Canis lupus familiaris: one gene and its partners. The protein of the gene in region 5 purifies or fractionates together with the protein of the main gene of each other region. This does not show direct contact. Links are inferred from orthologs where the notes say so. Each region holds a gene or a part of one and is shown on either strand. Other genes may lie near its edges. The genes, in order: CHAMP1, MECP2, MBD1, EHMT2, CBX5, CHD4 and ZNF462.

Region 1 (3,955 bases), on a different chromosome or scaffold from region 5:
TTTTGAGAACTTGTCTTGAAGATGTTATTGCCTACAACACTGTTTTCTATCACCTATATTACCGGTTTATTATTTGCATTTGGGGGTAGCAGTTTAAATATAAAAAGGTGACAAGACAGTTGAGGAAACAAACGAGTGCTTTTCAGAAAGTATTAGCTCCTTCAGGAGCTTCAGGAGCTGCAACTATCCTGGCTTTCAGAAAATTGTTTTTAGGGCTCTATGGGCTGACTAAAAAAAGAATATAATCACTGAATACTGAATAAAAAAAATCTCTGAAACTTGCAAACATAATGAAGATAACATGTAGAAAGAATGTGCAGGTTAACGATCCACCTAAAACCCAGTGTCTCATAAAAGTATAAGAATGTTATAAGAAAAGGCAGCGATTTCTCAATAACCGCATCTGGCCTAAACGGCCACAATCAACAGTCAAGGGATGTTCATAAGGGGGACATTACATATTAAAAACCATCATTATAGTATAATAAACCCTAAGTTGCATATATATGACACAGAGGTTAAGACCTCAGGCTTGTTGGGTTTGAGTGAGTCCTGGTTCCAGTATATGGCTTTTGTTAGGTTGCTGAACTTACGTTTCAGGTTCCTGGACGGATGTTAATATTTTGTAGCATATTTAGAACAGTATCTCATGGTGAACTGTCGGTGTCAGCTATGATTATTATACTAGAAACTACAAGGGCATCCTCTAACCAACAGTTCAGTTTCTGGTAAGTAAATATTGCCCAATGACCTTGCTAAAGTTATGGCTGACCAGCACGCAGTATCTCATCTGAAATATACTCAAGTCCTATTTATGACAGGAAGATAGACTTTGTACTTTCACAACTTGCGTTTCTTAAACTTAAACTGTTAACTATGAAACTTTTCCCATCTTCTCAAGAAACTAGTGTAGAGTGGGAGAAAGTATCTTACTCAGTACCTCTCTATTGTCTTTGCCTAATTTACAGTCCTATCAACAAAACAACTTTCATTTCCTGTATGTTAACTCATCAACTTTTTACCAATACTAGTTCATAAAATAGAGGTTATCAATAAGCCCAATAAGTGTATAATACAGGAATCAGATTATGAACTTTAAGAGTAAAGCATTTTGTTCTCTTCCTACAGAAATTACTGAGCACACTATTCTGTCATCAGAAAAGTTTTTAAAAAATGCTTCCATGGCATGCCTGGGTGGCTCAGTTGGTTAGGAGCCCGAGCCCACCTTTGGCTCAGGTTGTTATCCCAGTGTCCTGGGATGGAGCCCTATACCGGCTTCCTGCTCAGTGGGGAGTCTACTTCTCCCTCTGCCCTCCCCCCACTCATGCTCTCACTCTCTTGCTAATAAATAAATCTAAGGGAAAAAAATGTTTCTGGCAAACTTACCAAATGAAAAAGAAAATAAAACCACATCTCATAAATTGACATCTCTAACATTAGTGCAACAACTGGAGAACCACACCCCCTGTTCCCATTCCTATGAAAGAATTGTGGTTCCTTTCCTTTCTTTTTTTTTTTTTTAAAAAGATTTTATTTATTTATTCATGAGAGACACAGAGAGAGAGAGAGAGAGAGAGTGAGAGGCAGAGACACAGGCAGAGGAAGAAGCAGGCTCCATGCAAGGAGCCTGATGTGGGACTTGATCCCAGGACTCCAGGATCACATCCTGGGCCAAAGGCAGGCACTAAACCGCTGAGCCACCCAGGGATTCCCCTTGTGGTTGCTTTCTATAGGCAAAACTCTACCACTATTTCTGCTTACTTCTACTTTCCATTGGCTGTATCTCTGTTTCTTGCCTCTCTGGAAATTTTACACTAACCCTACATTTTATTGCTGCTTCTGTAAATTAGTTTATCTTTTTTTTTTTTTAAAGATGTATTTATTTATGAATGATAGACACACACACACACAAAGAGAGAGAGATAGAGAGAGAGAGAGAGAGAGGCAGAGACACAGGAGGAGGGAGAAGCAGGCTCTATGCCTGGAGCCCGACCTGGTCAAAGGCAGGCGCTAAACCGCTGAGCCACCCAGGGATCCCCAATTAGTTTATCTTTGATGAATACCACTTGCCCTAATTCCTGCTGCTTTTGCCTCCAAGTGGCCCCCAGCCACCTCAGCTTGGATTCCTTTTGTCCTTAACTGCTGCATGTTAAATCATCAGCTCTCTCACCCTCCATGGAGTGCCAATCAGTTCCTCACCGATCCTGCTCCCTCTCAATCTGTGTTAATTCCGATGGCTCCCTAGACTTGGGTGTTTCCCATCTCCCTCACCTGCCCCTCTCTATTTCTTCCTCTTCTTACCATCAACTCTTCTGGCCAGTCTCAAAGTGTCTATTTCCCAGCCTCATTATCAGACCCTAGTAACCCCTTACTCAAAAAAATTTTTTAAAGAATTGTTTAAAATTCACTTCTCAAACCCCAAACTCTGTCATATATATGCATACCTGTCACATCTTCATGCATCATTATGTATGCACATATGTGCTTTTGTAGATTTTCCTTAGGTGTAAGCACTTCTCAAAAATGTTCACATCTTAAACATACTCTCCTAATTGTTATAAAGCAAACAAAAACAATATGCAAAGTAAAGCTGGTAAAATAACACTATAAATCCAGGCCAATTCCCTTTAGAGCAGGGAAGAAATAAAGACCAACAATACTTTCTCTGGTAGACTTACCAGTTTATCTTCCTAGAAGCCTTGAAAGTATGTCTTCAAAGGGCAAGCAAGTCTACATGGCTTCTGAGTTAATTATAGAAAATAGTTTGTAGTACATGAAGAACAAAGATGATAAGATGGACCTGGAAAAAAAGAATAAAGGAACTGTAATCAAAACTACATTTCTGTGATAATCTATGCAAAAGAACTCTGCCTATTTCTCTTGCTGACCTGCTCCCTGCCAACAGTGACTGGGGTCAATCCACTTGCTTTAATGAAATAATACCAAAGATAACCATGGATACTACCAATGACACCACCCACATCTTATTCCATTTTAAAATCCAGGACCGAATCCTGAACCCTTGTCTATAACCACAGCAAATTCATCGTCTCACTTCAGCTGCCGAGACCACAGGATACAGGAGCAGCTGATGTTTTGTCCATTATCCACACTACACTGCAGAGCAGTAAAGTAACAGGTAGTGAGGAAGGGACAAGATTGTCCACAGGACCAAGGGGCAAAGAAGGAAGAGGCATCAGAGGATAAGGAAGGACAGTGGTGCTCCAGTGACTGCACAGCCTCTTCAAACATGGATTTCAGAGAATGTGTCAGGGTCCGGGTAAGCTGTTGACTTGAATAGCAAGAACAAAACTGGCCATGAACAAGCCAGGGGATAGTGCACAGCACACCACTCTACCCATGGTCAAGCTGTAATGTGGATAGCTGTGCTGTCTGTGCCTCTCTAGCCTTACTTCCTCGCCATCCAATCGCCATACTGTTTCCAGTCATCTTCCAAATACAACCTAATGCCATTGGCCTGCTCACAGTTCCTCAAAATATCCCCCAACACCTACAGAAGACAAAACCACGGTATATATAGCCCTTCACAATCTGTCTGTCCCCTGACTGGACTTCATTCCTTTAAATACAAACCTAGCCTCTGGACTTTCACACAGGCATTTCCTCTACTTTATACTCCCTGGCATGGTAAGTTTACACACTCGGCCATCGGGCAAGTTTCTCCATCCTTTAGGAAGAATTACTTCCTAAAAAACAATGGCCAACACCCTCCCCAACTCTCTTTGTGTGCACACCTTCCATGTAGGCATTACTCTCTTGCACTACAAGAGTCTGGCTCTCAGAGGGCCTGTTCACCCCTGTAACCCTTGCACATTCTTGGCACATGGTATATGCTCATAAAGTATCCGTTCGTTACCTCTAAACATCCCATCATGAAGACTAGAGACTTGATCTTAGATTCATAGGACTTTAAAACTAGAAGAGACCTGTGCTA
Region 2 (4,119 bases), on a different chromosome or scaffold from region 5:
AGACGCCGCTGCTCAAGTCCTGGGGCTCAGGGGGGCTGGCGGGGTCCTCGGAGCTCTGGGGCTCAGGTGGGGGAGGGGGCGGGGGCGGAAGCAGCGGCGCGGGTGCCTTCGGGGGCTCTGAGTGGTGGTGATGGTGGTGGTGCTCCTTCTTGGGGGGTGAGGAGGCGCTGCTGCTGCGCCCCTTCGGGCTGCTCTCCTTGCTTTTCCGTCCGGGGCTCTTGCAGGTCTTCAGTCCCTTTCCACTCTTCTCGCCGAGGGTGGACACCAGCAGGGGCTTCACCACCTCCTTCACCTCAATGCTGACCGTCTCCCGAGTCTTGCGCTTCTTGATGGGGAGCACAGTCTCCTGCACGGACCGGATGGAAGACTCCTTCACGGCTTTCTTTTTGGCCTCTGCGGCGGCAGCTGCCACCACACTGCCTGGCTTTCGGCCCCGCTTCTTGGGAATGGCCTGGGGGTCAGCCTCGGCTTTTCGCTTCCGGCCTGGGCGTTTGATAACCATGACCTGGGCTGACGTGGTGGCCCCGCCCCCTTCAGCCTTGCTCCCGGGCGAAGCTTGAAAAGGCATCTTGACGAGCAGCTTCCCGGGACTTTTCTCCAGGACCCTTTTCACCTGCACACCCTCTGATGTTGCTGCCTTGGGTCTCGCAGTGCCGCTCCCTTTGGGGCGTCCCCGACCTCTGCCAGTTCCTGGAGCTTTGGGAGATTTGGGCTTCTTAGGTGGTTTCTGCTCTCGCCGGGAGGGGCTCCCTCTCCCAGTTACCGTGAAGTCAAAATCATTAGGGTCCAGGGAGGTGTCGCCTACCTTTTCGAAGTACGCAATCAACTCCACTTTAGAGCGAAAGGCTTTTCCCTGGGGACTGTGGGAACAAATGGAGAGACACAAAGAACGATTAGAAGCTTCCCCGCTAATGTACAAAGATGGGGCAGGAAGAATGTGCTGAATTCTGTGACAGGACGTTCTGCAATTGACCTGCCTGATGATACTATTCAATGAGAGTCACATTAGAGAAAAGCCAAAATGGGCTGAAATTAGAGGGGCATGGTCACACACAAAGCAACTGGGTTGCTGGGCGGCGGAGAGCACCCACAGGGTGTGCTCCAGTGACAAGAACAGCTGGGTGTCAGCTGCTCTGCAGCTATTGCCCCTGAGGATCCGCCTACCACCAAGGCCCCTCCTCTGGCTCCCAAAGGGGCCTGGCCTGGAGACCCGCTTGAGCCAGAAGGCTGAGGGGCAGGCATTCTGCTGGTTGGTGCCTGGGCCCAGTCAGTAAGTAAAGCACTCCTCTCTGTCTGAACCTGGGCATGCTGCTTAGCCTCTCTGGGATCGGTTTCCTCATCTGTCAGTAGGATAATGCTTTTTGTTCACCCTTCTCAGAGTTGTTGCGATCAAATGAGGATGTCTGCAAATAAACTGTTTATCTTTTCTGGATCATCTAAGGGCCAGAACTGAAATGTATTTATTCAGTCCTTCTCTGAAGCTCTGGCTTGGGAATTACACTGTTTCTTTTTTTTTTTTTTTTTTTTTTTTTTTTTTAAATTTTTATTTATTTATGATAGTCACACAGAGAGAGAGAGAGAGGCAGAGACATAGGCAGAGGGAGAAGCAGGCTCCATGCACTGAGAGCCCAACGTGGGATTCGATCCCGGGTCTCCAAGATCGCGCCCTCTGCCAAAGGCAGGCGCCAAACCGCTGCGCCACCCAGGGATCCCTGAATTACACTGTTTCAATAGAAAATGCCCAATGACCAGCTCAAAGCTGGACAAATGCACCAATGACAGTTGGAAAGGCACATGAAGAGACACCAATGTGTCCCCAGAGGCCCTGTCAGAGAGCTCACCTTTCCCAACATGATTCAGAGAGTAGACTGAGCCCTCTGAACTCCTACTTCTTCTGGGTCATGCAGCCAAGTCACGGAATGACTGACAGAAAGAAGAGTTGTTTAACAGGTTCTGAGAAGAGCCCATCAGCTGGATGTTTCCCAGCTGGGAAATGAGAGGAACCCAGAGAGCCCTGCTTGCCTTCCAAGCACAGGCCACTACACATGGCAGGTCCTGTGGCCTCTGGGACCAGCCTGGGCAGGGCCTTGTGTCCTCAATGTTTCTCAGGCGACCTCTCTTTCTTGTGTCCTCACTGTGGCCCTGGGTAGGCCCTACTGCGATGCCATCTCCAGACAAGACCTCAAGGGCTGGTGGGGTAAAGTCACACTCAGGGCGGTGAACTCTGTACACAGTCATTTGAAACATACCTGGAGGGGTCTGCAAGTGGTGTTCATTATTGAAGCCACCCCCAGCCCAAGATGGGTGATATACACACATTTTCCTGATCATCGAGTAAAAAAAGAGCTGCCACTCTAAGGGATCCCCATTAGTTTCTCAGCACCTGGCCCCAGCCTCCTGCCCACCCAGCCTTCCCTGCTTTGTAGAGACAGGAGTTGCCCTTACTTACTTGATCAAATACACATCATACTTCCCAGCGGAGCGGCCAGATTTCCTTTGTTTAAGCTTTCGGGTCCAACCTTCAGGCAGAGTGGGGTCGTCATACATGGGTCCCCGGTCACGAATGATAGAGCGTCGCTGTTTGGGGGAGGCAGAAGCTTCCGGGACAGCTGGGGCTGAGCCTGACCCTTCTGAGGTCTCCGCTTTGCCTGCCTCTGCTGGTTCAGCAGAGTGGTGAGCCGGTGGCTGCAGGGGCTCATGCTTGCCCTCTTTGTCTTCTTTCTTCTCTTTCTTCACCTTTTTAAATTTCAGGGGTTTGTCCTTGAGGCCCTGGAGATCCTGGTCTTCTGACTTTTCTTCCCTGAAGTGTTAAATAAGTATGTAAGTATCACAGGGAACACACCGATTTGTAGAAAAAGTAAGCAATGGCGGGTTTGGGGCACCCCAGCACAGGCAGGGCTCTGAGAGACAGGGCTGCCCCACCGATGCTCACCCAGATCCTGATGCCTTTCTCCTTCAAAGATTTCTTTGGGGGCTTTGGGCTTTACCCTACCTGCACTGTGACCACTCTGAGTCCTTCTGTCCCAAGTCCCACTCCTAACAAGCAGGAGAATGAGCGGCATTTTTCTGGGTAGAAACACTAGGTGGCTTCTCAGTGTACTGCCTCGGAAGAGGCCACTTTACAAGCTGTGCCCAACAGTCTCTAGACTTCATGGCTGACAAGAGGCCCTTGACTACTGGAGAGGGAGCTGCCCACCCAAAATGTGGCCAGGGCTCCTCTTCACGAAAGACCTGGCTTGGGTGTTAGTATAGCTTCTGTATTGTAAGTTTTCTCAAATGTGTGCTTGATAAAACAGTCAGGGAGCACGATGCAACTTACTGATGGTGGCAGAGCCTAGCACTACCCCCTTGGGAGATAAGGCACAGCACAGTGCTGTGGAGAAAACACACAGGTTTGGAGCCAGCCCAACCTGAGCTCAAATTCTGACTTGGCAACTTCTAAACATGGACCTGAGCAAGTGACCTCAACATTCCGTGCCTTAGTTTCCTCATCTTGGTAATAGGCACCAACACCCCAGAGGAAGAAAAGTCACAAAAGCACCATATAAACACTAGCCAACTCGGGCAACCAGAAACTGCTGCCCAGGGTTCTGGAGTGAGGAGAAGGCACCCCAGGTCTGCTAAACTTTTATTATCAGACATTCCTTTACAAGCCATGACTGCCTTACACTCAACCAGTAGAAGGGGAGAGCAAGGACAAAGGCACAGAAGAGCACCCTCCCCACTCCAGGGTGGGCACCTCCTTATGCTTTCACACTGACAGAGCAGCTCCTTCCTGCTATTTTGGCTCCACCTGGTAGGGTCCCTTCCTTGTGTGCACTGGAAAGGCCCTGGACCCTGGAATCAGTCCGCCCGTGGTGTTCTTAAAGCAGGGCTAAGAGGGCAGGAACACCACCCACGCTGGGGAGGCTTGGAACCAGCCATCTGCTGGTCTCTCAGCAATTCAGTCTAGAAGAGAATGAGACTATTCCTGCCCTTGATATCTAAGCCCTAGAGCTGCCCTGTCCCATGTGGCTCGTGTCAGCACTGGTCACTGCCTCATGGCCAGTCTACCCCAAGCAACCCCCTTGTTCACACTGTGGAGACTCCAATGGAGGCACTGTGGTATGTACTGGAAAC
Region 3 (3,500 bases), on a different chromosome or scaffold from region 5:
GGGCACTTGGTTAAGCCCAAAGAAGCAGCTGCTGCAATGGGCCTAATAGGGGAACAGCAAGGCACAGTAACGGGTACTAGTATGGGGTGAGCAGACAGTGGGGGAGGGACTAACATGGGATCGACAGGTGCAGCAACAGTACTTAGTGGTCAGATAAATCAACTCTGGTGGGGCTGATAGCATAGTGAATGGATTTCACATAGGCTGAGCAAGTACAGCAGGCACAATGGAAGCAGCTACAGAGGGTCAGCAAAATTCTGCTGGAAATGGGGGTCAGAGACATTGTCTTAATAGCCACTGGTCTAGCAGATGACGTGACAGATACGGTGTTGGAGCAGCCACCATCCTGACAGTACTGGGCACTATCCAGTATAGTGATAGTGCCTGGTGTTGGACTCACAGATGCTGAGGTGTGACTAAGACCAACGCACAGCCTGTTTCCTCCGATGGGGCTAGTGAAGGAGCAACAGGAACAGCACTGTCAGTAATAGCACCCTCCTTTTGCCTGTCCCCCAGCAGCCTTACACGAACCGCCGGCAGAACCGCAAGTGTGGGGCCTGTGCCGCCTGCCTACGCCGGATGGACTGTGGTCACTGCGACTTCTGCTGTGACAAGCCCAAATTTGGGGGCAACAACCAGAAGCGCCAGAAGTGTCGTTGGCGCCAATGCCTACAGTTTGCCATGGTGGGTGGGGCAGGATAGGTTGGTGGGTGGGCCAAGTTGATCCAGGGCCTCCAGTGCCTGGGAGTGGTGGGTAGGTCCGGCAGCTGAGTGGGGCAGTCCAGTTGGGTTCTGTGTCTTCAGAGGAGTAGGCGGGGCAATAGGTTCAGCCAAAGATTGGCAAATGAAGGATCTGGGTGTCAGTGGCATTGCTAACAGGAGACCAGCAGGCTCGATGATGAGGGCCTCATGGGTAAGCAGATTCTGTGCCAGCACTAATGAGCACCTGCAGGCACATTTGTCAGGACAGGGTGGTATAGTTGGTCATCGCACCAGGTGGCCATAACATCCTGTCTTTCTTCAGAAGCGGCTGCTGCCTAGCGTCTGGGCAGGATCTGAGGATGGGGCAGGGCCACCACCATCTTACTCTCGTCGAAAGAGACCTGGTTCTACTCGACGGCCTCGTCTGGGCCAGATACTGAAGACCTCCTTGACTACACCCACAGCCCTATCAGGCTGTGCCCAGACTCCAGTGAAACAGGAAACGGACAGTGGCTTTGTGCTCCCCCCACCTGGCACCGACCTTGTGTTCTTACGGGAAGGTGCAGGCAGTCCTGTGCAGGTGCCTGGCCCTGCTGCAACTTCCACAGAAGCCCTGTTGCAGGTGAGGGTCTCATCTTATCCTGCCCTTCCCAGCCCTACCCAGCCTTGTGCCAGAAAGCTGGGACCAAGTCTGCTGCAATCCTCCTTCACACAGGAGGCCCAGTGCCCTGGCCTGAGTTGGGTTGTGGCCTTACCCCAGGTGAAGCAAGAGAAGGCGGATGCCCAGGAAGACTGGACACCGGGCACAGCCATCCTGACTTCTCCTGTATTGCTGTCTGGCTGCCCCAGCAAGGTGGGGGTCAGTGATGGGTGGTCTGTGAGCCGAGTGATGGTGAGCCGTGATGCTGGTTCTTGGAGCAGAGCAGTAGATGTGCTGATTGCAGCCTCACCATAAAATTACCCCACCTGTCTGACAGATGTCCCACCCTCCCCAGGCAACTAACTTTGCCTGCTTTGCTGTCCAGCTAACAGAAAAATGGAATTCTCTGAGGAATGGGAAAGGTTTATAGGCTGAGAGATGGATTTTCTGGTCTGAAGTGTGACAGAGTGGGATTTGTCAGTACACTGACAGGTTGGCTGATGAGAGACTCTTTCCTTAGGCCCACCCTGCCCTTCTGATTCCTGCCTGTTTCCCACCTCCCCCAGGCAGTAGACCCAGGCCTGCCACCTGTGAAGCAAGAGCCACTGGACCCTGAGGAGGACAAGGAGGAAGAGAACAAGGATGATTCCGCCTCCGACTCGGCCCCAGAGGAGGAGGCAGGAGGGGCTGGCACACCCGTGGTCAGTGCTGGGGGACACTTCACCCTGCCCTGACCCTGCTTTAGCCTCATTGGCCATGATGACCCATGATGTTAATTCTTTCCCAGATCACGGAGATTTTCAGCCTGGGTGGAACCCGCCTCCGGGACACAGCAGTCTGGTTGCCAAGGTGTGCCCCGCACAATGAGGGGTGGTATGTGGTTGGTGCTGGTCACACATGGGCCCTGAGTTTTAAAAGTAGAATCAGTAATTTGGTGTGATGCTCATATCACTGTGATGATCATGAGCAGTGAGGGGTTGTGTGCAGAACCCTAGAGATTTTTCCTGAGGTTCATGTCAGGGCTTTCCTTGGGTATGTGGGGAGGTAGGGGTGGGGGTGGCAGGGGAACAGGGGTCAGTGGAGGGTGAGGACTTGATGCCCTGCGATGAGATTTGAAAGAAAGAGATAAAAGCCTGGTCCACAGCTTCCTAAGAAAATCCAGAAGGGGTCAGTTTTAATATGTAAATTTTTATTCAGAAAATCATCATTTGGGGTCTTGAAGGTCTCTGGAGTCTCCAAGAGATGACAGATGGGCTGGACAGTGGTGGATAGGCAGTAGATCTGGGTCCTGTGGCTGCCTCTGATCTGGGTCCACATGCAACTGTGAAATCTCAGGCTAGTCCTCCACCTTCTAGAACAGCCTTTGTGGACAGGATTGGGCTATGTTTTGTGAGCCTTTCCTGAGCCTACTGAGGTTATTAACAGTTTTAGGTGCTGCATAGAACTGTCGCTGCAGACCTGGCAATAGGATGAAGGATAGCTGCCCCTAAGGGCAGGGCTGGTGGGAGGAGGACAGGGGAATGCTACTTCTTGCAGATTGATCACAGGCTGTGCACATAGGCTGAGACACAGGCAACATAAGCTGTTGGCCTAGGCACTTGGATTCCTTTGTTCCCACAAACTAGTCATGCAGGCCAGAAACTCCATCTGCCTTGGGCAGTACCAGAGGTATTAATGGAGTACCTGCTAGGTACACTGCAGTGTGAGAGATACAGTGGTGAATACAGTGACCCTTCAGGAGACATGGATCCCTGCTTTCAGGGAGCTTATTATCTAAGGAAATAATTTCCCTATGTGTGAAATTGTTACACGTTAATGGAGAAGATAACGATGTCTTAGGTTGTTTATAGTGTAATATTTTGGAAGCGAGAAGATAGATGAAGGATAATTATGGGGAAATCAGTGGTGGGCACAGAATACTAGGAAATGGTTTTGTGATGCTCCATTTTGCAAAGAGCAAACTTCATTCAACATATGGACCTGCTCCCTCTTCTCTAGGTCCAAGGACCTTAAAAAACCTGGAGCTAGAAAGCAGTAGACTGGAGGCTTCTGCAGACTTTAGGATTCAAGGTGGTATTTATAGACTGGCTTTATGAGAGAACACTGATCTACTCAGGCTGGACTGTAGACCAAGGGGTCTTATGTAGGATTCAATAGG
Region 4 (4,021 bases), on a different chromosome or scaffold from region 5:
AACAAAATGGGGGCAGCCGGGGTAGCTCAGCGATTTAGCGCCACCTTTGGCCCAGGGCATGATCCTGGAGATCTGGGATCGAGTCCACATTGGGCTCCTGCGTGGAGCCTGCTTCTCCCTCTACCTGTGTCTCTGCCTCTCTGTGTGTCTCTCTCACGAATAAATAAATTAAATCTTAAAAACAAAAAAAAAACCCAAAACCAAAATGGGATGCTAAACCCAAAGTCCAGGATGGTGGTTACCACAATGGAGAGGGGCGAGGGGCCGGGCTGGGGTGGAACACACAAAGGGAGGAAGTTACAGAGAGGATGGGAAGGTGAATTAGGGGGTGTCACAAGGTAAAAAGGAAAGAGAGACAAAGGGGGTGGGTGGGTGGGAAAGACTGGAGAGTGAGCCTTGGCAGAGAGGTAGGCTGGCTCCTTCTCACCTTGCTGTCAGAGTCCACACGCTCATCCACAGAGTAGGAGTCGTAGTAGAGGCTGAAGTCATCCCCCACCACTGTCTCCCACTCCTCCAGGGACCCTGGGTCCCCTTTCTCCATGGTCACTTCTCCTGAACCCCGTGCAGAACCCAACTCCTCCGACTAGGAAAAGATCAGAAAAATGGAAGCTGCTGGTACTTCCCTTCCCAACCATTTCCCTTGAGGGCAGGATGCAGCCCCCCCCAGGTGGAGAGGCCTTGTCTTCAGCCTCTCTAGGCTCACCAGGCCACCTCCAGAGTTCAGCTTCCTCCTTTTGGCCACATCTGGAAGGAGAGAGAGAAAGGAATAAGGCTGGTTCTTCGACCCTCCGGACAAGATTTATCAGGTGGCAGGTGGGTGGGGTGTGGGGGTGGCGCTGACCTGAGGTCATCTTCCCCAGCGAGTGCAAGTCATCACTCATGCGGAAATGCTGCACTTCAGGGGGCCGCTTCTCTGGGACAGGAGGCTAGTGGCAGAGAGGGAGCACACTTTAGGGTCAGGGAGCATTTGCATTCAGTCAAGGGTGAGCCACACCCTCAAAAATGTCACCTGAAGCTCCAGTAAGCCAGAATGTGGCAATCACAAGAAGTGCTGTCTCTCGAGAAGAAGGGTATGAGGCACATTCCACACCTAACACTCACCTTTTCACTCACCCGAAGGAGCGGGCCCTCTTTACCCATTTTACAGATGAGAAAATAGGTTTGTGCCTTGCCCAAAGCTACCTAAACCATACCCAAACCCCCAAAAACACTGTCACAAAGCTTCTGAAATTCTGGGGCTTTTTGTCCTTTCCCTCACCCTCCTTCCCTGTAGGGAGTCACAGTAAAATCCTTAGAAGCCCTTTGAAAAAGGAAGCAGGGGGAGTTTCAAAGGGAGGGAAAAAGCTCCCTTGGGGCTTGCTTTGAGGTAGAAAGCAAGTTAGAAGTTCCTTAGTCATTATCATAAGAATAATTGGGACAATTAACTACAACAGTAATCCTCTAACCTTTTTTTATTTTTAAAGATTTTACTTATTTATTCCTGAGAGACAAAAAGAGGCAGCAACAGAGGCAGAGAAGCAGGCTCCCTGATGTGGGACTAGATCCAGGATCATGACCCGAGCCAGATGCTTAAACCACTGAACCACCCAAGTGCCCCTCTAACCTTTTTTACAACTCCCCTCTCCCCAAGAATATAAACTTGTCTGTCTGTTCAGATCAAGCCCAGCCCAGAATCTGACACACAGTAGCCCCTAGGTAAGTATGGCGAGCCCTGAAGGGATGAGAAAAAGTCTGAAGCTAAACTGTAAAAAAAAAAAAAAAAAAAAAAAAAAAAAGTCCACAAGGGGTACACAGTGGGTTACCTGGGTCTCCCCACCTCCACCCCTCCCCCTCATTCTCACCTGCCCATTTCCTGGTTTGGACATGGTTTTTCTGGCTCGGTGGACCTTGGGCTGCCCCTCTGGGCTGGGTGTGGCTGCAGGGGGTTCAGGCCCCGCTGCTGCCCCCTGGGCTCCCGGCATACTCAGCAGCCGCATAGCCAAACTCTGGACTGAGGGGGGTGATTTTGCTGCGCCTGTCATTGACATCTTGGCGCGGCTGGGACAGGCACCCCCCTTGCTGGGGGAAGAGGGGAATGACTTTGTGGCATGGCCTGGAAGACAAATAGGCAGACAGAAACAAGGTAAGACGAGAGGTAATCAGAGGATACCCCCCCTCTGCCCCCCAGGCCCCTGACTCCCCAGCCTCTCACCCAGCAGGATTCGGCTCCCGTGGAGGTCCCCATCTCCCTCCAGATTCTCAGGTTCATCCCCAATGAGCGGTGTGGCTCCTAGGGGGGTGTCAGCCCCCTCATCACCCACGGTGACTGTGACAGAGGCTGGGGATGAGGGGCCAGCAGGCTCCAGGGAGTCAGGGCTGGACTTGGGCAGGGTCTCCTCACCACGAGGGGTGTCCCCCAAAGAGCCGTGAACTGTAAGGGGAAAGAAAAAGTTCAGGGCTAAGGTCTCGGGGAATCCTGTGTTGGGGGAGGTGAAGGTCCAGCTGGGCCTGTTCAGCCGCACTCACCTCTCTCAGAGGCTCCTCTGGGCTCCTTCTCCAGCACCAGCGCCCCCATCTCAGCAGGGGCCTCCCCCTGGCAGGGGACACAAGGTATAGGAGGGCTGGTCAGCCCGCTAGGAAGTTGGGGAGCCCAGGACGCCTGGGCTCTGGGAAGAGAGAGTAGGCTCCGGGGCCTACCTCTTCCTCGATGGGGGCCCCCCCGTCCGCGGCCTCGGCTGCCCTGGGGGGCCGCACGACCCCTCCCCCGGGCCCGCATCAGCCCCCTCCCTCTCGGCAGACCCCGCATCTCTGGGGCCTGGAAAAGAGGAGGGGGAGGGGGCGGGGCCTCTGCGCCCCGGCCCCGCCCCCTCCTCCCGGCTGCACGCGCCGCTCCCCCTTTGTCCCCCAGGCCGCGGGGACCCCGGGCACCAACCCCTCCAGCGCCCGCCGCTCCCCAGCCCGGCGGACGGCCCCTCGTGCCCCTCGCGCGCGCTCCTGGGGCCCCGGCTCCCGCTGCCCACTCGGGGGCAGCCGGCGGCTGCACGCGCGCCTCCGTGCCCACTCCCCCCACCTCCCACCCCCTGGTCCCCTCATCCGCCCCCGGTGCTGGCCCTCCGGATTGCTGTAGGTCTCGTCCGGGCCCCCCGGCCCCGTTGCACCCCCGGAGCATTGCACGGGCGCGCGCTTCCCCCGGGCGCGCGCGCGGGCATGCACCCGCCTCTCCCCCTCCCCTTCCGCACCTCGGCGGCCGCCGCCGCTGCAGCTCCCGCCGCCGCCGCCATCGCCGCTTGCGCGGGGGGCCGAGCCGGCGCGCGGCCGCCCCGGGTCACGTGGGCGGGGAGGGGGGGCGAGGAGGGGCCTTAAAGGAGCCACGGCGCGCTTTCTGGCCATCTCCCCCCACGCCGGGAGCGGCCTCGGCGGTGGCAGCGGCTGCCCTAAGCTGGGGGCTTCGGGGGCGCGTTCCCGCCGCTGCGGGCGTCGGCTGCGCGGGGAGCCGAAGGCGAGGCACGCCTGGCCGGGGTGGCCCCTCCGTGCCCCGCCTGTCCGTAGGTAACGAGAGCGGCGTCTGAGCGTCCCGGCTCGCGGCGGCTATCTTCCCGAGGAGGCCCGCGTCTGCTTCTCCCGCCTCGGTGCGCTCTAGTTTCTGGGTCTCCGGGTAGCAAGTGTCGGCCTCGCTTCTCCCCCGAGCAGGAAGGGGGCAGCGGGAACGCATGGAGGACACCGGTGCTCTCGACTGCTTCGTACCGGCAGGAGCAGCGTCCTCTCCTGAACCCGGGGCTCAGGGTCCCTTCTGTTTGAGCCGGGTATGCTAAGGCACCAAGTGCACCGGGGACCTGAGTAACCCCCAGAGGCTCCACAGTCATCACCGCCTGCTGAGTACACTATACTAAGGAGCCTTTTTTTGGTCGCAAGCCTAGGCATTCCGTGGGTCATAAGCCCAGTTGACAGAGGAAGTATGAATGATATTACACCGAGATAAAAACCTTGATAGCATTATTTAGGGTACCATCCCTTTGGGTATTATATTCTGGTCAAAGTTTGG
Region 5 (4,043 bases):
GATCCATTTATCAAAGGCTACTTCCTAAACACTTCATTCACCTTCTCCCACTAATTTCCAATTATTAAAATAAAATACTTTGACAAGATTATCAACTCTAGCATCTGTCATTTTATTTATTTTTGTAAATTTAAGTAATCTCTTCACCCAATGTAGGGCTCAAACATGACTCGAGAGCATCAAGAGTTGCATGCTCCTCTGCTGAGCCAGCCAGGTACCTCCAGCATGTCAACTTAAATCAACGTTGCTTTTTAAATTTTTTTATTAATAGTGAATTCTTTAGCTGCACTCCCAACGTGGAGCTTGAAGTCACCACCCTGAGACCAAGAGTCACATTCCTCAGACCCAGCCTGCCAGGCACCCCTAAATCAACAGTTTTCAACCGAGGAAGATTTTGCACCACCACCGCCACCATCACTACCACTGACATCCCCAGGACATCTGGCAATGTGTGGTGACATTTTGATAGTCACAAATGGGTGTGAGGGAGGAGGTGAAATGCATTTATTAGCTTAAAATGTCAATAGTGCTGTAAGAAATCCCGTAAGTCAAGACTATTTCTTTTGAACCTAAATAAATTAGGGAGAACTGTAATTTAGATCCCTTTAGTTCTTATAAACTCAGCAGAAGCAGCTGATTAGCACACCTACAGTTTATAAGGAAATACGAAATCAAGTTGTCCTCTTGCAAGTGTCAGAAAACACAAATCTCTCCAGTCTTCATTATATGGACAACTAAAATTAACTTTCCTTTGTATAATGTCACAAAGGTCTATAATCAGAAGTGTCCTTCATACACAGTTAAACGTATTACAGCATCTAAACATCTTTCTAATAACCTTATGCCATTGATCAAGAGGGCAATTTAGATTCTGATATAACCATTATGTAACGAAAACGTCTTTATTTTTACTAAAACATCTTCAAATCAGCTGAATGGGTGTTACCAACAGGTGATTACAGTGCCTGTAAAATAAACACTTTGAAGAAAATACAATGAAGGCAATGGAATAATCCAGGTGATGGAGGAGTCCTCCTACCCCTAACACCCTAAATATCATCCATGTTAAGCAATTTGTCAAAATTCAGACATCCTTAGAGGAATAGCAGAAAGAGTCTCGGAAACTTTTTAATGGATGGGACGCCTGGGTGGCTCAGTGGTGGAGCGTCTGCCTTGGGCTCAGGGCGGGACCCCGGGGTCCTGGGATCCAGTCCCGCATCCGGATCCCTGTGGGAGGTCTGCTTCTCCCTCTGCCTGTGTCTCTGCCTCTGTGTGTTTCAAGAATAAATAAAATCTTTAAAAAAGAAAAAAAAAAAAAAAGGAAAGAAACCTTTTAATGGTGTAAAGAAAGATACAAAAGTTCACAGAAGAGACTGAGGTAAAAAAAAAAAAAAAAAAGACTGAGGTAAAGGCGTGGAAACACAGATGATGCGTGTAAAGGGTTTACTTACTTAGCACAGCGTCTCCCTGGCAGGTACTAAGTACACAAAAGAAAGTCAAGTTTTTAAAATTGTGTTTTTATTCTGAGCATCACCGTGTTAGTTCCGCCGGCGCGCGGGGGGGCGGGGGGGGGGGGGGGAGGACAGCACTCTCTCGTGGTGTAGGGATGACACAGGGGGAGGGGAGGAGCAGGGGATCGTGCCTGGAAACACGAGGGCTGCCTTTCCCATCTTCACCGAGTCACAAACTGCGATCCCTGAAAGGACTTGAGCGGGAGGGACGCCACCTGCCCGGATCCCACCCGGGCCCTGGACACGGACGCACGGCGGGAGGCGGCCCTTCCCACACTTCTCCTGCGGGCTCACGAGCATCCGCCACCGGTCCGGGGAAGGCCGCGGCGTTCCGCGCACACGTGGGTCGGCGCCTGTCCGCGACGGCAGCGGCTCTTGTTCCGATGCGCGCGGACGCTGCCGGCCAAGCGGGTTCCCGACGACCGGCCGAGCTCCCCTGGGAGCCTCCACGCGCGGGGCGACCAGAAGCCCCGGGGTGCGTGTGCGCGTGCGCGTGCGCGAGCGCGTGGAGCGGTTATGCCGAAGCCGAAGCGACACGCCACAGAGTCAGGGTCTCCCTACCGGAAACGCGTGTGGGGTGAAGGCCCGAGCGCCGGGCGCCGGCGGCCACTGTGGAGAGAACGCGCGCCCCCGCGCCCCCGCGCCCTCCCGCCCGCTCCTCCACAGCCCGCAGCGAGGCCTCCCGCTTCCGCACCGCTGACTGGGCGACCCGCCCGGGCGCCGTCCGCAGGCCGCCCGCCGCCGGCTCCACAGCGGGGCCTCCCCCTCGGAGTCCGCCCGCCGCCTCCGAGGAGCCCAACCTACGGCGCGCTCGGCGCCCATTGGCTCGGCGGGACGCTGCTCAGGGCGCAGGGCCCGCCCCCACGTCCCGAGGGCCCGAGGGCCCGTCCGTCGGCGGCAAAGGCGGACCCGATTGGCCCGCGCGCAAGCCAGTCAGACTCCGGGCCGCGGAGCCCCACGGCACTCCCGGCCGGCAGACATCCCGCCCCCGCCGTCCATTGGTTGGCTGAACCCAGCGCTCCCCCTTTACGAGCCCCCACCCCGCGCTCCATTCATTTCACACAATAACGGGCCCAATTGGAGTCAGTTCAACACCTCGTATGAGTAGGCGAGACGATCCGCCGCTTACCCGGAATCGAGACCGGCCACTCGCGCCAACGCCTCCCCTGTTCCTCTGTGGCGAGGCCGGACCACGGGACGCCGCCGCCGCCGCCTTCTGCGCAACGCCAACCGCCCGCCAAAACGGATCCTTCCCTGCGCCTGCGCGGCCAATCCTGCGACCGGACCCTTTCTCCGCCCATTACGCCTGCGCAGAGCGGGGCGCGACTCCCGCCACGACGCAGGCGCCGTAGAGTCGCCGCCGTCTCCCGCCCGCCATTTCACGTGCTCCAAGCGCCGAGCGGAACTGGTTAGTGCGCCTGCGTAAACTCGCCATTTTACTACACATGCGCCCGGCGGGCGGTCGTTTGCAAAAAAAAAAAAAAAGAAAAAAAAATCACCTGATAACCTCGTTCGTAATATATTAGCATTTACCGTGCTTCGCCAACTGAGCGGAACATAATTTCGGGGCGGAATGGATTGAAAATTCATTTAAATACCTTAGGTTCGTTCAAATATGAATGACTGGTTGACGAGCCAATCACAGTAATTAGGAATAATATTACCCGGGAACCAATAGACCTGAAGGGGCGGAGCCTGCGTAGAACGCCCAAGCGGATGACGTTGCGCAGCAGTGCGGGGCTATAGACCAATAGCAGGGGGAGGCTATCGCAAACATCCAATCAGAGACGCTCAGGGGCGGAGTCTACCAATGCCTAAAGCGAGGAGGCGGGATAAAAAAGCGAGGCCGAAGGTAGGCTGGCAGATACGTTCGTTAGATTACTCCTTTCTGCCCCTGGACGCCGCCGAGTAAGCATCGTTAAAGTCTCCCCTCCCACCGCCGTCATGTCTAAGTCAGAGGTGAGTAACACGCTGTCTCCCGCCTAGTTTCCTTCCTCACTCCTTCCCTGGGGCCGGTAGGACGCGGCCTGGCGTGGCCGCTCGCGCCAGCCCGTTCGGCAGCCCTTCGGGGGCCGCCAGGGCCTTCCCCTCCCGAAGTTGAGGTCGCCATTTTGTCCTCGTCGTCGCCATGAGGCCGCCGTCCTGCAGCGCTTGGCTGTGGCGCCGGGCTGCGCCCTCCCGGCAGAACTCGCGGGCGCATTCGACGGGTTTTGTTTGATCGTGTCTCCGGGAGCGAGTTTCTTGCGGAGCAGCCGTAGTTCCCCGCCGCTTCGGCGTCCGTCCAGCCGAGTCCTTTTGTTGCGCGTGCGTCGGAGGGAGAGTCGGGGCGCATGCGCCCGCGGCCTCCCAGCCCCCACCGCTCGGTCCCCCCCGAGGGGAGAAGCACGTGGCCTCCCGTAACCCGAGGGAACAATACGTGCCTTGTAACGCTGCTGTCTAGGATTTTCCTCCCAACGGGACGGGGCTGGGCGTTGGGCGCGCCACGTAACGAGCTGTGTCCCCGCTCCTAGTCTCCCAAAGAGCCCGAGCAGC
Region 6 (3,961 bases), about 38 Mb from region 5:
TCAAAGTGGCTGAGACATAAAAGAAGATTTGGGAAAGGGGCAGGAATGGGGTGTGGCAAGTGGAAAAACTGGGTCATGCTACAGCTTGGGGCAGAGTTCACCCTGGGAGCCTGCACTGCTCCCAATCAACACAGGGGCAGCCCCAGCCCAAGGGGCCAATGGGAAGCCAAAATGTGGAACCAACATTGGCTGGACAGCACTACTACTTCTCTCGCCCCTCACAGAGAGAGTCAGATCATGTTACCAATGCTGCTACCCCACCCCCACCTTGGGCAACAGTACAGAAATTTGCCACCTTGGTCTACACAGTGATGAGACTCGAGCCTAAGTTTCTCATCCCAACAGCTGAAGACTCAGCAACAAGACTGACCCCTTTACTAAGTGGCCTCAGTTTCAAACTAAGACTTGAAGACTTCCAACTTAGAAAACACCAAAATGTAGGAACATCTTTCCCAGACCTCAACTTACTGCTACAGCTAAGGAGAGAGAAGGCAGAAGTGAAAGATGTTTGATGGGAAACAAAAACACGACCAGCAGGCTCCAGAATTAAAGCGAAAATAAAGATAAGCAGAAGGATAAAGAAATGACATTTAAAAAAAAAAAAAGAAGCTTGAAAAAAAGGTCAAGGAAACAAGTAGGTGACTTAGCTACGGGCTGTGAAAAAGGAAAGACAGACAAGAGAGAGACATCCACTCAGATGCATGACATCAATCACCATTTGAGAAGAGACAAGAGCTTCTCCAATCAGGCAGGATGATTACAACCATACGGGTTTGGCCAGTCCCAGGAGCCACCCACAAACACAGAACAACCCCCAACACACCTACACAAACACTTCATGACACCAGCCCAAACCCTAGGCTCCCTGCACCAAAGCAGAAGCCTCTAGGAAAAAAGTCTGTATCATGTCCATTTGCTATGGGAAGGGGGGGGGGGGTTGCCCAGGGTGTCACCTCCCTTCTTTTGCCCCTCCCTAGTATATCCTTCAGGGTGTGACATCCTACCCCAAGCCCCCATCATTTCCCCATTTGAAACATTCCAGCAATCTGCCTGCTAAAAGCTCTCTACATCCCAGCTGAGGAGCGCAATTCAAACTTCACAGTTGAGACATCACAGAAAACCGGTAACTGATCAGAAGCTAAAAATAATCAGATAGAGAGTAACCAGCACTCCCTCTCTCCTTTCCACAGCAGCAACCACAGGATCCTGCTAACACAGATGCCGGGCTGGTCTTCAACATGCAATCCTCGACACCCACCCGAACCCCCACCCCGCCTCCAACGGGTCCCAGCCACCTGCATTCCTCCGTGGACCCACACAAGGTAAGGTCTCCAGACCAGAGGGCTCCCTCAACTGGGAACTGCATAGCATTCCTTAAAACAGACAGTGCAGCAAGCTTGCATCTCGGTCCCAGAGCCCAGGAGGCACATGGCTTCCACCCCCTCCCACAAGAGCTCCGCAGAAGGGAACCACTCCCTTCGGATGCCCTCCACCTCAGACTCTGCACGGAGAGAGAGAAACTCAACCTTGCCTCACCAGAGTCGCTAGGGAGGGCCCAAATGCCTCCTTCCTGCCCAGGGCCCTTGGGGAAGATTTACCTGGGTGGGGTGGGGGCAGGCTGTTGTTCAAAAGTGCATCCATATCTTCCTCCTCGCTGCCCGCGGAGCAGGGGGACGGGGAGCCCAGGCCCGACGCCATCCCCTTCCGCTCCCGGCCAGGGAATTGGCCCAGCTGCTCCTGCCTGCGGCCTGGGGCCCTCTACACTGGCCCGAGTCACTGTGCGGGGGAGGGGGGGAAGAAAGAGAGAACAGTCAGTGACGCGCACTGTCCCCCTCCCCCACACCCACCCGCTCTTTCCGCCCACCACCAAAGCGGCCCCCCCAACCCCAGCCACCCTAGCAGGGCACCCGAACCACTCAGGCTGAACTTAGTTCCACACTCCTCGAGGGCAGCCCGGAAGCCGGCTCCCCAACTGGAGCCCCCCAGATGAGCGGGAGCGACGCCCCCGAGGGCAGGCTGGTGCAGGCGTGGGGAGGGGGAGAAACCAGGCTGGACCGAGCAGGGTATGTCGGGGGAGGGGGGTCCGAGTGGCCGCGGCGCGGGGGGGTCGGGGGAGGCGGCAGGCAGCGAGGCGCTCGGGGACACAAGGTCACTTGGGGGTGGGGGGGCGCCTCCCTGCGCCTGGGGAGGGGCCAGTCCCCAGACAGGGCAGCTCTCCAAAGGCTGTCCTCTGGGACAACTCAGGTTCTCCGGAGGAGCCACGGGGCCGAGGGGGCGTGGAGGCTCGGGCGCTCCAGGGGGCTGGAGGCTGGGACGCGGGGGGCGAGGGAGCGCCCACCGGGCAGGGGGCCGGGCCACGTGTCCCGGGGGGCAAGTGAGCAAAGGGCGAGGGGGCGGGCGCCGGGCATTGTGGGAGACCCAGCCCGAGGTGGGAGCCGCGGGGGGCAGGACTCGGGCCGGCTCAGGGCGGGGGCGGGGGGGGCAGGGCGCCCTGCAGGCAAGGAAAAGGAAGGGTCGGCTCCTCTGGGCAGGGGGCGGTCCGCGAGTCCGGGACATCTGAGGAAGGGGTGGATGGAGGGATGAGCTTGGGGGCTGGTCAGGCTCAGAGGGGCGTCTCTTTAGGAACCCCGCGCTCTCCTCACCCCGGAGCCGCCGCAGGTCGCGCTGGGTCCGGCCCGGTGTCACTCCCGCTCCGGCTCCTCCTCGCCGCGGCCGAAGGGGGGAAAATGGCTCCGGCTCCGGCGTCGCCTCTTAAAGGGCCCGAAACACCGGCCGGGAAATCCCACCGCACAGGCCCCGCCCCCCCACGGACAGCCCATAATAACCTCAACCAACTCCAACCCCCCCTCCACTACCGCCACCCTCCTCCTTAGGTCTCCCGGGCAACCCCCGCCCCCTCGTCGCTCCGGCAACCATTGGCCACGCCCCCTTCGAGCGCGCGCGCGCGTGTCACCCGGGCAACCACCCACCTCCGGCCATCCCATAATACACACGGACACCCCACCACCACCACCCCACACACACATACACTCCATACACCTATATGCTAAGGTTGTTGACATATCATAATATTGCAGACCTTTGCAACTAACCCTTTCCCCACCTCAGACATCCCATAATAGCCATCCTTTGCCAACTTCTTCACTCTTGGCCCTAATGCTAACATCCCATAATAATTCGTCACCTCTCCTTCCCCATGGCCATCCCATAATAAGCACCCCTCCCAGCACTTAAGCCTCACAGCCCATAATACTCATTCCCCATCCCCCACAGACATCCCATAATAACCACTCTTCATCCACCCCCAGTTTGATATCCCATAATAGTCAGAAACAACGCCCCCCCCCCCCCAGTACTACAACGGACACTTCGGCCTCCTCCCACACACATCCCGTAATAATCAGTTTCCCACTTTTACACTGACATCCCATAATAACCAACCCCCTAGCCTGAGCTGCCCTCAGCCCCTGCAGACTAGGGTCTAGATCCTCACACCACCACCCTCAGCCTTCATACATGCGTTCTAACTCCACAGCCCATAGTAACCTCTTCTCTGTCAAAGAGATATCCTCTAATGATCGGCAGCCCCACTGTCACCCTACAGATGGACATCCAATCTCCTTTCCTCTAACGCTGGAAAGATATCCCATAATTTTACTCTCCCACCCACACCTTGATATCCCATAATAATGTCAAGGAGCCCGAGGTCCACCAGACATACTCTAATACTCCCAGCACATCCCATAATGCTTCATCGCCAGCCACCACCCCTATACCTTTCCAGCCAGGCATCCCATAATATTCACATTCATACCTCCCCCACCTCCTCAGGCCATCAGGTCTATTCTAACACCCAGAGCCACAAGGTTGTGAAGCAGGCTGCTACCCGCACTGCCCTGTGCCCACCCCAACTTGTACATACCTTTATCCCTTTCTGGGCCAAAGCAGTATCCTGGCATAA
Region 7 (3,500 bases), on a different chromosome or scaffold from region 5:
TCTTGGGCTCTTAGCCCCACTTCACAGACGAGATGACCGAGGCTCAAGGTGACAGAAGCAATTGCACGGCAGGTGCAAACCCTGAGCGGGGCTCACAGACCCCTCCAAACCTCCCCTTCTAGCTCAGCCACCTTCCACTATGACATCTCCTCCCCATCACCCCCCATGATCACGAGACAGCACTTACTTGTGCCTGAAAGCAGAAACAAAGGAGCAATACTGGCAGCTGTACTTGTCCTCGCGGGTAAACATGGCCAGGGCCAGATGGCTCCTCTCATGAGAACGCAGCCCCTGCATGGACATCAGGACTCTGTCACATTGACTACAATGGTATCCCCCCGGCCGGGTTTCATCCTCCAACATTCCATCAAGCAAGCAGTGTTCACCATCCACCCGGTCCACCAGGGTGCCACTGGCATCTTTGGCTGCTTCCAGTCCATCCAGGAACAAATGGGAAGGGTCTTCAGCCTCCTGCTAAGAGAACCACACACACACACATGCCCCACCAACAAAATAAATATCCATCATCATCGTCTCCAGCTCTCCTCCTCTCCCTTCATTCTCCCAAACTCATCAGCATTTCCTGGTAAAGTTTTCTCCCCTGCCTCTCCAGCTCCCCCTAGAGGAAGGGCAAGCCCGCCTGCCATCCTTCATGCAGTGCTGGTGATTTTAGAGCAACGTCTCCGGGCACAGGTCGCTACTGCCTGGGAAACACGAGACAGGGGCTCTCCCACCGTGAAGACAGTTCACTCACTCATCTCCCATCTTAAAGAGAAGATTCAAACTGACACAAAGCAGGGTTAGGGTGACGGCTCAGAGAAAAGAAAGAAAAGGAGGAGGAGGGGAGGAAAAAGCAGAGTAGTGTGGGCATCTAGGAGCCATGGGCCATCCCTGGGAAAAGAAGGGAAGGGAAGGACCTTGCCGCCCGTGCTCCTCCCCACCCTGCCTGTGGTGACTCGGTCCATTGACCGAAGGCTGCCGGACGATCGACTGAAAAACTTAAGGAGCAGCCTGGTTTCAAGACACTCGTGTTTGGAGGTGACTCCTTGGGTTACTGATTACACATGAAGAGCTGTTCTGTCTCCCTCGAGCAATTCCAGGAAACAAGCCTGGGACACACCGAGGTGCCGTGGAAGAGGCTGACTGCCGCTGCCCCCGGGGGGCCACTGCTCTGCTGAGAGCCGGAGGCCTTCAGTCTTTATGTGCCAGGAAAAGCAGAGACTTTACGTCCGTGCTCCATGGGCAACACAGGACACCGGAGGGAAACGGGCAGATGACAAAAAATATAATCACATATCTAGGGAGAAGGAGCGGGGCCCTGAACTAACCAGCGTCTCTGCTCAAAGAGGAGTGCTTAGCCGTATCCTGGAAGGCAGGGATGGTGGCTCGGTTCCCAACAGTGGCCACTCTTCGGATCACCATGTTCGGAGCAGGGGGCCTCATCAGAGGCACGGGAAGGAGGGAAAGCACTGGTCAGCCACATACGGGGAAAGGGCATGAAGGAGGCCAACCAGGTCAAGGGGCTCTCGGGCCTACTGTGGCGTGAAGGCTTTCAGCTTTAGATCTCACGTTTCCTACGCTCCTCAGAGGACCCAGAATAAGAAGTGGAAAGATTCTCCGGGGCTCTCTACCCTGTGAGCCAGATGAGAACAGTAAGGAGTCAGGCAGTGGGAGGAGCAGAAGATGATGGGGAACAGGACCCACTTGATTCCAATCAAGAGCTCGGGCAACTCGGAAGAGCAAACACCTAACGGCACTAAACGCAGCACAGAAGGGCGACCCAAAGCCTCCTGCCCCGAGAGAGGCCCGGATCCTCCGTTTCCACCAAACTATCCGCGTGGAAGGCAACCAGATCGAAACGCGACCGGGTCGAGACACGAAAGATGAAGAAGGTCCAACCTGCAAAAGAATCACAACAAGCCAGACCGATCCAAGCGCAGCTCAGGAGTGCCCACATTCTGGGACGCCCTTTCCTGAGCTGCTCTGAGCAACGGGGGGTTAATAGGTAACTGGAACCGCTCACACACAACAACGCTCCTCCAGGCCTCCCCCCGCTCTCACCTTCACGGCGGCGGACACGGCGGGGACGCTGCCGTACTGGACGTGCTTTCGGAGGTGATTGCAGATGGCTCGGAGCGTCGGGTGCACTTCCACACAGAATTTACACTTGTAGCCCACCACCTTCCTCTCCTTGATCTTTGGCACCTCTTCTAAGTGACCAAAAGGCTGGTGAAATACAGTGGTAGCCGTCAGTACTCCGAGCCCCCCCTCACATGCCGGCATTTATTCTTGCAGCTTACTAGCAGATTTTATTTCAAAGCGGATTAGCGGGTTAAAAACCAAAGGGAGAAATATGTGAGTATTTTTACATAACGAATTCGTCAGAGCCGTGGCACGCTGCCTACTATGCAAAGTCTCTGGAACCCAAATATGTTACAACTTGTGAGTAGAGAAGATTTCTGTGGAGAAGCCTCATCGTCACGGCCACCAGGTTATGTGGTTTTTCAAGCCAATTTCAACTACGCAGGTGAAACGTTGCGTTAGCTACGCCATTAGTGAACTTCTTGACCAAAAAAAAGGATCTACTCCCGGAGATGTGAGGTTCGTGTGGCGGACACCGCAGACCACAACACGGCTGAGAGGTGCCAGTGATACCCAGAGACGGCCCCCGGCTGCCTTAGAAAGAGAGCGAGCGTTGTCGTGCACCTAGGCCTCACATAAGGCTACTCGGCAGAAGGAAATACAGAGAAACCACCCGAGCCCTCCCCCCCCCCCGGGGGGGCCTGGGGTGGGGGGGCGGGAGCGGGAGGCAAGGGGAGCGGGGCCGTGGAGAAGGGCGAGCATAGGACGGGGGATAATCAAGCTCGAAATGTTTAATTGACTTATTGAGCTCTCTGGCAAGCTAAGTCGCTAGGAAGCCTGTAGCAGTTTGGCTGGCAACGAAGAAGTGCATGTGGGCACCAGTGATGAGAGGCCTCCTGGGGGAAGGGAAATCAAAACATATCCTTACCCTCTCTTGTTTGAAATCTGCAAAAGCACCATCTGCATATTTCTGCTTGCTCAAAAGCTGTTTCCTCCTCTCCTGACGTTTGGCACGCTTCTGGAATTCCTCATTGTGAATGTTCAAGTGTGAGGTCAGCTCCGCTGTGCTTTGCAGTTTGCTATCACAGTGCTTGCACTGGTAGGCGGGGTTCTGCAAGCGGGGGCCGCTGGCCAGAATGACGAAGTCCCTCTTCAGGTCCCGGCTGTGGTGGTCAGTGTAATGCATGCACAGCAGCTCCGCCGTGCTGAAGGACAGCTTGAAGCACTTGATGCAGCGGAACGGGAGCCACTCCATCTCCTGCGCTTCGCTTCCCTCCACCTCGGCTTTCTCGAAGCTGCCTCGGTCTTCCTCTTCCATCAGCACCGGCTTCTCGTGCTCGTCGGCGTAGACGGCCGTGAAGTAGCCTCCCAGCTTGCTGGCGTGCTGCTTCTTGGGGAACACCCCCGGGTGGCGCTTC

What was found.
Region 1: the proteins of CBX5 (region 5) and CHAMP1 purify together in Homo sapiens (affinity purification with mass spectrometry; 6 studies listed by BioGRID and IntAct, with this or other methods). This does not show direct contact. The link is inferred for Canis lupus familiaris from reciprocal best matches to the Homo sapiens genes CBX5 and CHAMP1.
Region 2: the proteins of CBX5 (region 5) and MECP2 purify together in Homo sapiens (affinity purification with western blotting; 3 studies listed by BioGRID, with this or other methods). This does not show direct contact. The link is inferred for Canis lupus familiaris from reciprocal best matches to the Homo sapiens genes CBX5 and MECP2.
Region 3: the proteins of CBX5 (region 5) and MBD1 purify together in Homo sapiens (affinity purification with western blotting; 3 studies listed by BioGRID and IntAct, with this or other methods). This does not show direct contact. The link is inferred for Canis lupus familiaris from reciprocal best matches to the Homo sapiens genes CBX5 and MBD1.
Region 4: the proteins of CBX5 (region 5) and EHMT2 purify together in Homo sapiens (affinity purification with mass spectrometry; 3 studies listed by BioGRID and IntAct, with this or other methods). This does not show direct contact. The link is inferred for Canis lupus familiaris from reciprocal best matches to the Homo sapiens genes CBX5 and EHMT2.
Region 6: the proteins of CBX5 (region 5) and CHD4 purify together in Homo sapiens (affinity purification with mass spectrometry; 5 studies listed by BioGRID and IntAct, with this or other methods). This does not show direct contact. The link is inferred for Canis lupus familiaris from reciprocal best matches to the Homo sapiens genes CBX5 and CHD4.
Region 7: the proteins of CBX5 (region 5) and ZNF462 purify together in Homo sapiens (affinity purification with mass spectrometry; 3 studies listed by BioGRID and IntAct, counting the BioPlex papers as one, with this or other methods). This does not show direct contact. The link is inferred for Canis lupus familiaris from reciprocal best matches to the Homo sapiens genes CBX5 and ZNF462.

Annotation. Positions count from the first base shown.
Region 1 is NC_049243.1:61,535,275-61,539,229, forward strand, and holds the start of CHAMP1 (chromosome alignment-maintaining phosphoprotein 1), read right to left. Parts: upstream 2,801-3,955; 5' UTR 2,679-2,800; intron 1-2,678. UniProt on the Homo sapiens protein: Required for proper alignment of chromosomes at metaphase and their accurate segregation during mitosis. Involved in the maintenance of spindle microtubules attachment to the kinetochore during sister chromatid biorientation.
Region 2 is NC_049260.1:123,060,762-123,064,880, forward strand, and holds the start of MECP2 (methyl-CpG-binding protein 2), read right to left. Parts: upstream 2,801-4,119; 5' UTR 2,548-2,800; coding exon 2,450-2,547; intron 861-2,449; coding exon 1-860. UniProt on the Homo sapiens protein: Chromosomal protein that binds to methylated DNA. It can bind specifically to a single methyl-CpG pair. It is not influenced by sequences flanking the methyl-CpGs.
Region 3 is NC_049228.1:78,697,774-78,701,273, forward strand, and holds part of MBD1 (methyl-CpG-binding domain protein 1), read left to right. Parts: intron 1-516; coding exon 517-684; intron 685-1,024; coding exon 1,025-1,324; intron 1,325-1,417; coding exon 1,418-1,555; intron 1,556-1,908; coding exon 1,909-2,043; intron 2,044-2,129; coding exon 2,130-2,191; intron 2,192-3,340; coding exon of another isoform or gene 3,341-3,380; exon of another isoform or gene 3,381-3,412; intron 3,413-3,500. UniProt on the Homo sapiens protein: Transcriptional repressor that binds CpG islands in promoters where the DNA is methylated at position 5 of cytosine within CpG dinucleotides. Binding is abolished by the presence of 7-mG that is produced by DNA damage by methylmethanesulfonate (MMS).
Region 4 is NC_049233.1:1,484,577-1,488,597, forward strand, and holds the start of EHMT2 (histone-lysine N-methyltransferase EHMT2), read right to left. Parts: upstream 2,801-4,021; 5' UTR 2,786-2,800; coding exon 2,506-2,785; intron 2,411-2,505; coding exon 2,192-2,410; intron 2,093-2,191; coding exon 1,842-2,092; intron 927-1,841; coding exon 842-926; intron 745-841; coding exon 704-744; intron 584-703; coding exon 428-583; intron 1-427. UniProt on the Homo sapiens protein: Histone methyltransferase that specifically mono- and dimethylates 'Lys-9' of histone H3 (H3K9me1 and H3K9me2, respectively) in euchromatin.
Region 5 is NC_049248.1:45,635,944-45,639,986, forward strand, and holds the start of CBX5 (chromobox protein homolog 5), read right to left. Parts: upstream 2,801-4,043; 5' UTR 2,641-2,800; intron 1-2,640. Other genes in the region: HNRNPA1 (heterogeneous nuclear ribonucleoprotein A1), read left to right, coding at 3,456-3,470, 4,022-4,043. UniProt on the Homo sapiens protein: Component of heterochromatin that recognizes and binds histone H3 tails methylated at 'Lys-9' (H3K9me), leading to epigenetic repression. In contrast, it is excluded from chromatin when 'Tyr-41' of histone H3 is phosphorylated (H3Y41ph).
Region 6 is NC_049248.1:7,681,547-7,685,507, forward strand, and holds the start of CHD4 (chromodomain-helicase-DNA-binding protein 4), read right to left. Parts: upstream 2,801-3,961; 5' UTR 2,643-2,800; intron 2,064-2,642; exon of another isoform or gene 1,893-2,063; intron 1,777-1,892; 5' UTR 1,699-1,776; coding exon 1,599-1,698; intron 1,323-1,598; exon of another isoform or gene 1,191-1,322; intron 897-1,190; exon of another isoform or gene 813-896; intron 1-812. UniProt on the Homo sapiens protein: ATP-dependent chromatin-remodeling factor that binds and distorts nucleosomal DNA. Acts as a component of the histone deacetylase NuRD complex which participates in the remodeling of chromatin.
Region 7 is NC_049232.1:62,836,923-62,840,422, reverse strand, and holds part of ZNF462 (zinc finger protein 462), read right to left. Parts: coding exon 3,011-3,500; intron 2,227-3,010; coding exon 2,062-2,226; intron 292-2,061; coding exon 188-291; intron 1-187. UniProt on the Homo sapiens protein: Zinc finger nuclear factor involved in transcription by regulating chromatin structure and organization. Involved in the pluripotency and differentiation of embryonic stem cells by regulating SOX2, POU5F1/OCT4, and NANOG.